Linked DNA regions of Arabidopsis thaliana. The protein of the gene in region 1 interacts with the protein of each later gene in a biochemical or structural test. Each region holds a gene or a part of one and is shown in the gene's direction. Other genes may lie near its edges. The genes, in order: RAB8 and BTI2.

Region 1 (4,923 bases):
TGTCTGATACACGTTAAAGTGACTCGGATTGCGAGGAGTCCACGTTAAGTCTCCGTTAGCTACTGTTAATTTGGGGAATATGCTGGAGAGAGTTGAGATCAGGTGTTGGCGAGTGCACCGAAAATTCGTGTTCAGATTTATGACATCGCAATTTCTCTGTCGGTGGATTACAAACTGCAATCAAAAGAAAAGCATATGTTAATCTGTCAAGTGAATATTCGTTTTTATTTTCTTTCTATACATAATGTATATGGATAATTCAAACAAAAAGATGTGTAAAATGATAAATATGGGTGTTTATCGTATTTTATATAGTATTAGGATTCATGCAAAAATGCATGGATTGTCTATGATAGTAATTTTGGTAACTATTATTTTTTTATTTTTTTTATTTTTTTTTTCAGCTGGTAACTATTAAATTAGTAGAATTTAAAATAATTTATACTTTTAGGATTCCTATGATAGTATAGGATTTCTATACTATTTTGATATTAGGAGTTTAAAATAAATTACTAACTTATTATTATTTTAAATTATTAGATTTATACTTTTAAAAGTATTAGATATTATATGGATTTTTGTTGTTTACAGCTCTTTTTTTTTTTGGTATTTGAACTCGTATTATAATCGGTTACTGGCATTGATTGATACAAGTCACCAATTACCATCACCGTAAGCACCGTTTTATGATTAATTTTTATGATAAATATACACGTGCATTTCAAATAATTACCATTTTCATATCGGAAGGTTTTGGATAATCTTTCTGACTTTTTGTATGGTAAGAGTTTAATGAGATTGGGATAAAATTGGATAAACATGAATCTCATTGTAAATTGGAGTTAAAAGCATTAATAAGACGATCACATTAACGTAATAATTGCAGTCTACATTCAAAACAAATCTGAGAATGTATGCTTTAACTTTTTCCTTTAATGTCAATGGAATCACTCTTCGTATCCATTTAGAAAAGGAAACTAGATCGTATAATTTAGGAAAGGCTTACGTCGTGTCGTGTCATTCCCTAATTTTTTTGGATAATAGTTAGATATCGGAAATAATTGGATAAATTTGGATTAACATAGAACTAAATAGTGTAAGAGTAAAAAAAAAACATTAAATAAGACAGTATAGGGGCTTAAACTTTTTTGTTACCTCAAGGACGATATTTTAAGTAAAGTTAGCTTTCCTTTAATGTCAATGGAAACACTCTTCGTATCCATTTAGAAAAGGAAATGGATCGTGTAATTTTAGGAAAGGCTTTCGTCGTGGCATTACCTCATTGGTCGTGAAGAAGTGAAGATGTGGACTTGTCCGCAGCGGATGATCGGTGGATGGGGTTGAGTAAACGAATGCTCATGCAGTACATTAGATGCTACGTAGGATCATTGTAGATTCCTATCCACGCTTTATTCTTTGGATGATTATTTGCTTAACACCGACGACAATATATTCAAATTTCCTCAATTTGTCAATCGCTCTCTTTTTGCCTAACTCTTATTATTATTATTATTATTTTGCCTAACCTTTGCGTCCCCTTGGAGTTAAATAATTGAGTTTATTTACAAGTGAAGGGATTGAAACAACTTTTTTTTTCCCAGAGCTTAATCGCAACGCAACTCAGAACGAAATATAGAAAAATACATATACTGTATGAATATACTTCATCAATTCTGTAACCTGTTGGGTTGGATCAGTAAGAATAAACTAAACATTTAGTGGACACCAAATCATAAATTTAGCACACAAAAATAAAACTAGCCCAAGGCCCATGGTTCGAAATTTATCAAACCGTAACCGAAGACCACGCGCCGGACCAACACAGATCTCCACGAACAAGATCCAACGGTCCAGATCCATTCCCTCTCCTTCTCCCTCTTCTCTCTAACCAAAAAAAAAAAAAAAACTTCTGAATCTCCGAAAAAAGCCAATCGGGGGAAGAAAAAAATTCAACGGCCGTCTGGTTACTGTCTTGCTTGCTTCCGACGATCTATCTTCCCCGAGTAGATTTGGTACTTCCTTCTTTCGATTTTTAGGTTCTACACAATTGATTCTCGATTTAAATTTTGTCTCCAGTTTTTGCTCTCTTTGCTTACCAGTGATCCGTTTCTCGGAAATTACTTGATTTTGTTAAGAAATGGCTGCTCCTCCTGCTAGAGCTCGTGCTGATTACGATTACCTCATTAAACTTCTGCTGATCGGAGACAGCGGTAGGTTTCTATATCATTCAGATCGTAATACTACCTTTTGTTCCCTGCATTTTATTCAATCTCTATCTTTTTGTTGATTGATTCTCTCGATTTTTGTTGTTGTTGATTACAATTTAAGTTTTGTTTGAAGGATCTTGAGACAACAGTGATTTGAGTAACACATCTTACTCAGATTTGGATCTCATTTCAACAATTGTGAGCATATGATGTTCATAGTCTTCTTAGTTTGGTATTAGGATGGAGGAGAATCACAAATGAATGCTGTAGCTATTTAATTATATTCTCTAGATGTTAATGCCGCAAATGCTTTAGCCAAATTGATTTGAATATTCCTTTGTTGATTGTTGTAAGTAAGTGTTTCACTATGTTCCAGTGGATTATTCTAATGTCTCTGTTTTATCTGACTTTTGCTTTCTTTCATGTACCAGGTGTTGGTAAGAGTTGCCTTCTCTTACGTTTCTCAGATGGCTCGTTTACCACCAGTTTCATTACAACTATTGGGTATGATGTCTTCATGCAATGACACTGTGTTATCACGTCCTCTATGTAGTTCACTGTTCTTACTCAAGTTGCTTTTTGTTTTTGACAGGATTGATTTTAAGATACGGACTATTGAGCTCGATGGGAAGAGAATTAAGCTGCAAATCTGGGATACTGCCGGACAGGAGCGGTTCCGCACAATCACAACTGGTGTGTTTTCGATCTTGCTTTTCGTTTTCTCTTTTTGCTGTTATTTATGCATCTTTGCCTTCCTCGCTGGAATACACCTGAGTAGTTTGTTCTTATTGCAGCGTACTACCGTGGAGCCATGGGGATTTTGCTTGTGTATGATGTGACTGATGAATCATCTTTCAACAGTAAGTACTCTCTTTACTTTTTACTTGCAGTCCTTATGCCACCCAACAAGCTCTTGCAACGGTTCTAAACTTTATATTTTTCCATTTGCTAGCTTTATTATTTTCTACTCAACTAATTTGTTCTTTTTCATCCTTTGTTTTCTTCAATTCCAGACATCAGGAATTGGATCCGTAACATTGAGCAGCATGCTTCTGATAGTGTCAACAAGATTCTAGTTGGGAACAAAGCAGATATGGATGAAAGCAAAAGAGTCTCTTCTTTTACCCTCCCTCCTATCTTCGTCCTGTTTAAATATTATATGTTTCTATTTGGCTAATACACCGATTTGCTTTGTTTTTCCAGGCTGTGCCAAAATCTAAGGGCCAAGCTCTTGCAGATGAATATGGAATGAAGTTTTTCGAGACTGTAAGTTGTTGTCTATGTTTTGTTACATTTCAATAGATATAGGGAAAGGTCTAATTCTTTTTAAATGGTTAACTTTGATGAGTTTGCTAATTGCAGAGTGCCAAGACTAACTTAAACGTTGAGGAAGTTTTCTTCTCTATTGCTAAAGACATTAAGCAAAGACTTGCAGATACCGATGCACGAGCTGAGGTTCGTTTGAGCTATAGAATTAATTTCCACTGTCATCATTCATACATTGCAATTGTGGTAAAAATCACATTTCAGTATGTGTATCAACCTTACTAACGTCATCGAATTTCTTATCATTTTTGTAGCCGCAAACAATCAAAATCAACCAATCCGACCAAGGTGCGGGAACATCTCAAGCTACTCAGAAATCAGCATGTTGCGGCACATAAAAATTGGGTCCACGACGCCTGTCAAAGGAGAGAATCTGGCTAGTGAAAGAGAAATGGTATTTGGAAAGAAAAAATGAAAAAGGAAATCAATCTTCTTTTGCTTTTCTTCTATATGAGATGGTGTTTCTACGTATTCTTTTAAGATTCTCTCTTTCCCTAATGGTATAGTGTGACTGTGAAGGACACAATTCGTATTCCATATTTCTGGAATGGATTCTCTGACATCAGATTATGACTTATGATAATATCAGTTTATCTCACTCACACACCAATGATATTGGATTCTATGTATACATTCGAGAATGGTTCTGTTTCAAACTTTCAACTATTAATGTTTTATCACTCATTGCAAGAATTGAAACCTTTTATTCAAACAAATTGTGTATGCATACATGACGGAAAGAATGAAATAATGTGTAGCAAGAGAGAAAAAAACAACAACAAAAGTACAGAGAAAGGTTTAAAACCCTACTAATTCACAAACTTCAAATCAATTTGTGGAACCAAATTCTTCCCAAAGATTAACACAAGATCATTTTCCAATGGAGTTAGATTTAAGTCCAAGATCTCCTTGCTGCTACTGCAACGATTAAAAACCGGTCTGGAATAAACCACAGAAGGGACAATCGATTGCTCGGTTATCATGCTCGTCCTATGCTTTCTCATGTGACCGCCTAGAGCTTGACCGGTCCCAAACATTTGATCGCAAATTGTACACTTATGCATATCATTCTCTTTGTTACGATGCTTCACCTGTTCTTGGTCAACGATCAGCTTAGGTTTCTTGTGGCTAGCTCTATGACCTCCAAGAGCTTGGAAGGAATCAAATTTCCGGTTACACGTTTTGCATTCGAAGTGGTTATTATGGTTCGTTTTGCTTCCGGTAGATTGCTTTACATCGATTTGTTTGACCACGAAACTTCGAGATAACATCATTAGACTTTCTACTATGTCTATATGCTTCATGGATTCTTCGTAATCGGACCGGTCTCTCTTCATGTTTTTACGGTTGTATTTCGAAAAGAGAAAAGAGCACTATAGAGGGAATTAAA
Region 2 (4,723 bases), on another chromosome or scaffold:
TTAAGAAGGCATTCTCAGTGGTATGTCATGCCCCTGAAGCTGGAAAAAGCGGACTTCTCAGAGCAGATGTACCAAACCAAAGAAGGTGCATAAAATTCTTTAAAATTCAATATATTATTCTCAGAATGTGAATTTTGATACTCTCTCTTGTAATATAGTTTTCCAGAGCTGTTGATAGATGGACCTTATGGCGCTCCAGCGCAAGACCATTGGAAGTATGATGTGGTATTACTGGTTGGCCTTGGAATCGGCGCAACACCTTTCGTTAGCATTTTGAGAGATCTACTCAATAACATTATTAAGCAACAGGAACAAGCTGTGAGTATAACAAGCTTAAAAACCTTGTTGATGAGTAACAGAATCTCAACTAAACTTTTTTGGAGTTATGTTATATTCTCAGGAATGCATCTCAGGTAGTTGTAGTAACAGCAACATCTCGTCGGATCACAGTTTCAGTTGCTTAAACTCAGAAGCTGCGAGTCGGATTCCGCAAACTCAACGGAAGACGCTGAATACCAAGAATGCTTACTTTTACTGGGTAACACGAGAACAAGGCTCGTTCGATTGGTTCAAAGAAATCATGAACGAGATTGCTGATTCAGATAGAAAGGTAAAAACAATACACTTATTCATTTTAAATTCAAAAGATTGTATGATTTCAAGTTACTCACTGACGTATTTGTCTTGTGAACAACTACAAGGGTGTTATTGAGATGCACAACTACTTGACTAGCGTCTACGAAGAAGGAGATACTCGATCCAATCTTCTCACTATGATCCAAACGTTAAACCATGCCAAAAATGGCGTCGACATTTTTTCAGGAACCAAGGTAATGATCTTTAATGATTAGTTGATTACTTTATCACAAACAACACTCTTTTCTGATCTTGTATAACAACTTTTGGTTATTTTAGGTAAGGACACATTTTGGGAGGCCAAAATGGAAGAAAGTTTTATCAAAGATTAGCACCAAACATAGGAACGCAAGAATTGGTAACACACAGAAACATCAGTTCACTGAAATGATATTCGATATCGCGGTGTATATTTGCCTTGTCTGAAGAATGTTTTTTTGTTTGTTACAGGAGTGTTCTATTGTGGAGTTCCAAGTTTGGGGAAGGAACTTTCAACACTCTGCCATGAATTTAACCAGACGGGAATTACCAGGTTCGATTTCCACAAAGAACAGTTCTAACTGGTAAAAGGATTAATCCCCCACGATTATGGTTTTTTGAATGAATGAATCAATGTTCATGTTCGTTCTCGTATCCTACTTGTTGTGTTTTCTTTTCGTTTTGTGTATCACAAATACCAACTTTTAACCATTTCATCTAGAGTAGGACTGTTAAAAAATGTAAAAAGTCACAGTTAAAGCTTGTGAAGAAAAAAAGAGTGTAAAGGAGTAAAAATGAGAAATTCAAACAAAGGGGGATGATGGGATCATTGGGATGATTGGTTCTGTCTGTTCAATTGTTTTCAAATTTGAGCACTTATTATTGGGCCTGTCTTTGAGCTCTCTTATTATTATGGGCCGATAACTAGTTTGGCCCATTTGGTTATCAACTTGAAAATGAATGAAGAAAGCTGGGGAAAAGGGTCTTTTTAAACCCGAACTGACTCAAAAGCCTCAAAAATTTCACTGTTCCTTGGTTCTTGACCGGTTTAGAATCATGGTTTCGGTTTTGAATCATATTTGCTTTCTTGGACATGAGAAAGTAACTGGGCTTCATCATTGTTTTAGCTCATTGGGCCCATATTACGACTCGAGCTAACGCTGTCAAGTTAAATGCTTTTTCACTTTCTAGAGCATTCTTTTTTAAACACTTCTTTTAACCAAGAGACGGTTCCTACTTCTCTAATATTTTTATTTTCTAGTTTTTTGGCCAGCAGCAAAATATTATTTTAATTTAGTGTCAAGATAATTAAATTATCATTGTCTTTTGAATGCAGACCGAAAGTACATGAGTCACATAAGCAAGCGGCTACGATTCAACCACGTGTCACATGACCACCGGTTCGACCGTTTCTTTGTCCAGCCGCGTGACACCTGAACCAGAAAAGTTTAATAGCCATTTTAATAACAGAGCCGTTAATTACACGTGACTTAAAAAGCCGTTATCCTTAACAGCGTTAACATCTCGGTCCTGTGAAAACACTTTTTATATGTCCCCACGACATTTATCTTTTCCTAAGCATCGCTCTAGTTAAGGAAGCAGCAGGTTTGGATCCGAACCAACCAACGGATCAGATCAGAAACAAAATATTCAACGGCTCAGATTTATTCTAATTTTCCTCCTTTTATTGTTGGTTTTTTCATTCGACTTCGAGATCTTTCTTCTCAGAGGTGTAACGAAAACGCTAGAACAATAACTTTGATCGTTCTTCTTCTTCTCTTGAATCGGAAACAATGGCGGATGAACATAAGCATGAAGAATCTTCACCTAATTTGGATCCAGCAGTGGAGGTTGTAGAGAGGGAATCGTTGATGGAGAAGTTATCGGAGAAGATCCATCACAAAGGTGATTCGTCGTCTTCATCATCATCAGATGACGAAAACGAGAAGAAGTCTTCGTCATCGTCTCCAAAGTCTTTGAAATCGAAGGTTTATCGTTTGTTCGGAAGAGAGAGACCTGTTCATAAGGTTCTCGGCGGCGGAAAACGTATGTTTACTCTGATCCCGTTTCGATATTTGTTCTCAGTTTTTTAAAACGAATTCGTTTGCGTTGGCTTGATCTGTTTGATTTTCTCACTAGTTTAAGGGATCCGTGAAGAAGATCGTTTGAATCTACATAGAGGTTTACATTGATTTGAATTCGATTTCGATTTTGATTTCTGACTAGTTTGAGAGAATTTGTGATGGAATTGATTTTTTTTTTTTTGGAAATGTGTATAATGATCTTGTGAGATTCTTGTAGTTATTGATGATATGGTTCTTATTTCGTGATTGATAAACCCTAATTTGGTGATCTTTTTAATTGCAGCGGCAGATATATTTATGTGGAAGGACAAGAAAATGTCAGGAGGTGTATTTGGCGGTGCTACAGTGGCATGGGTGCTATTTGAATTGATGGAGTATCATCTTCTTACTCTGTTATGTCACGTTATGATCGTTGCTCTTGCTGTGTTGTTTCTATGGTCTAATGCCACTATGTTCATTCACAAGTAAGTTTTGTGGTCAATCATATGAAACAGGTCAAGGTTGTCAAGCTTATTTGACTCATCTTCGTTACCAAATTTTCATTCTCTTTCAGGTCTCCACCAAAGATTCCTGAAGTTCATATCCCTGAAGAACCTCTTCTTCAGCTTGCTTCGGGTCTTAGAATCGAAATCAACCGTGGGATCTCTTCTCTTCGTGAGATTGCGTCGGGGAGGGATATCAAGAAGTTCCTCTCTGTATGTTTAAACTGTCCTGGACTTACTCGTTACTCCTCTCTCGATGTCTCACTTAAGTTTGACACTTATTGTACTGTTTGATTGAATTAGGCTATTGCCGGATTGTGGGTTCTATCGATCTTGGGCGGCTGCTATAGTTTCTTGACATTGGCATACATAGGTAACACTTACTGTTGCTAAAAGTATTTTGCTTCTGCCTTCTCTCTTATTCTGACATTGCTGATGAACGGTTATTGATTTGGTCCAGCTCTGGTTCTGCTCTTCACTGTTCCTCTTTTCTACGACAAGTACGAAGACAAAGTAGACTCATACGGTGAGAAAGCAATGGCTGAGTTGAAGAAGCAATACGCTGTGTTGGACGCAAAGGTATTCAGCAAAATCCCAAGAGGACCGTTGAAAGACAAGAAGAAGGATTAGTTTTTTTTGGGGTTTTTGTTTTGTGTGGGTTTTCTTTGGAGTGCAATGTGCACAATGCTCTGGTTTTTATACACGTGGGTTGTGTTGTGTTGTGAATTGGTAATCTAAAAGGTTATGTGTTAGATCTCAACCCAAATTTTACTTGACAACTTTGCTTTGTTTTTGGAGTGGTTTGTGGCATTAGCACAATGATTGTAGTCGTTCTCTTGATCTATATTTTTAATGTACTGATTGATTTCTGTGTTTCTAATATGGTACGTTACTCAAATATCGTTTTTTCTCGATTATATATTTGTAGTATGTCTTGATATCAAACAAGTCAGGATGGCCGAGTGGTCTAAGGCGCCAGACTCAAGTTCTGGTCCTCGTAAGAGGGCGTGGGTTCAAACCCCACTTCTGACAATTTAGATTTTTATTTTCTCTGAGCTCATTTTTTAAGTGTTTGTTACTTTATTTGTCCAAAAAATAAAAATATAACATGTTTGTATATTTACTGGTTATATATATGTAATAAGTATGAATATTAACAAATGTCAGTATGGCCGAGTGGTCTAAGGCGCCAGACTTAAGTTCTGGTCCTCTTACGAGGGCGTGGGTTCAAACCCCACTGCTGACAATTTATATTTTTGTTAATTTTAAATTATAATTACCTTCTTTTTTCTTTCCTTTATACTATGTTTTCTCATTTAACCATGTTTTTGTTTTTTCTTAAACGGTCTTATGTTTCTCAGGTAACAATCAGCTAAATAAGTAACTAGTTAAAAGTTAAAACGCTTAAGATCAATTTGTATCAAATGGTGAATCCTGAAACATAATAATATAATGGGTTCCACTTCTTATCTTTCAACAAAATAATTGTGACAACAGGATCATTTCACAAACTTGTCATAATTGTTTTGGTTCAACACATGT

Evidence for each region.
Region 2: the proteins of RAB8 (region 1) and BTI2 form a complex in vitro, tested with the Arabidopsis thaliana proteins (one study listed by BioGRID).

The regions. Positions count from the first base shown.
Region 1 is NC_003074.8:19,875,479-19,880,401, reverse strand, and holds RAB8 (RAB GTPase homolog 8), read left to right. Parts: upstream 1-1,609; 5' UTR 1,610-1,707; coding exon of another isoform or gene 1,708-1,860; 5' UTR 1,861-2,012; exon of another isoform or gene 2,013-2,135; 5' UTR 2,136-2,137; coding exon 2,138-2,210; intron 2,211-2,638; coding exon 2,639-2,711; intron 2,712-2,799; coding exon 2,800-2,900; intron 2,901-3,001; coding exon 3,002-3,067; intron 3,068-3,220; coding exon 3,221-3,318; intron 3,319-3,410; coding exon 3,411-3,473; intron 3,474-3,569; coding exon 3,570-3,662; intron 3,663-3,787; coding exon 3,788-3,871; 3' UTR 3,872-4,170; downstream 4,171-4,923. Other genes in the region: AT3G53611 (uncharacterized protein), read right to left, coding at 1,708-1,860; AT3G53600 (C2H2-type zinc finger family protein), read right to left, coding at 4,343-4,870. UniProt on the Arabidopsis thaliana protein: Involved in membrane trafficking from the Golgi to the plasma membrane.
Region 2 is NC_003075.7:6,837,264-6,841,986, reverse strand, and holds BTI2 (VIRB2-interacting protein 2), read left to right. Parts: upstream 1-1,950; 5' UTR 1,951-2,408; coding exon 2,409-2,661; intron 2,662-2,982; coding exon 2,983-3,163; intron 3,164-3,252; coding exon 3,253-3,394; intron 3,395-3,484; coding exon 3,485-3,554; intron 3,555-3,641; coding exon 3,642-3,811; 3' UTR 3,812-4,076; downstream 4,077-4,723. Other genes in the region: AT4G11230 (Riboflavin synthase-like superfamily protein), read left to right, coding at 1-85, 159-318, 401-610, 702-830, 916-994, 1,087-1,196.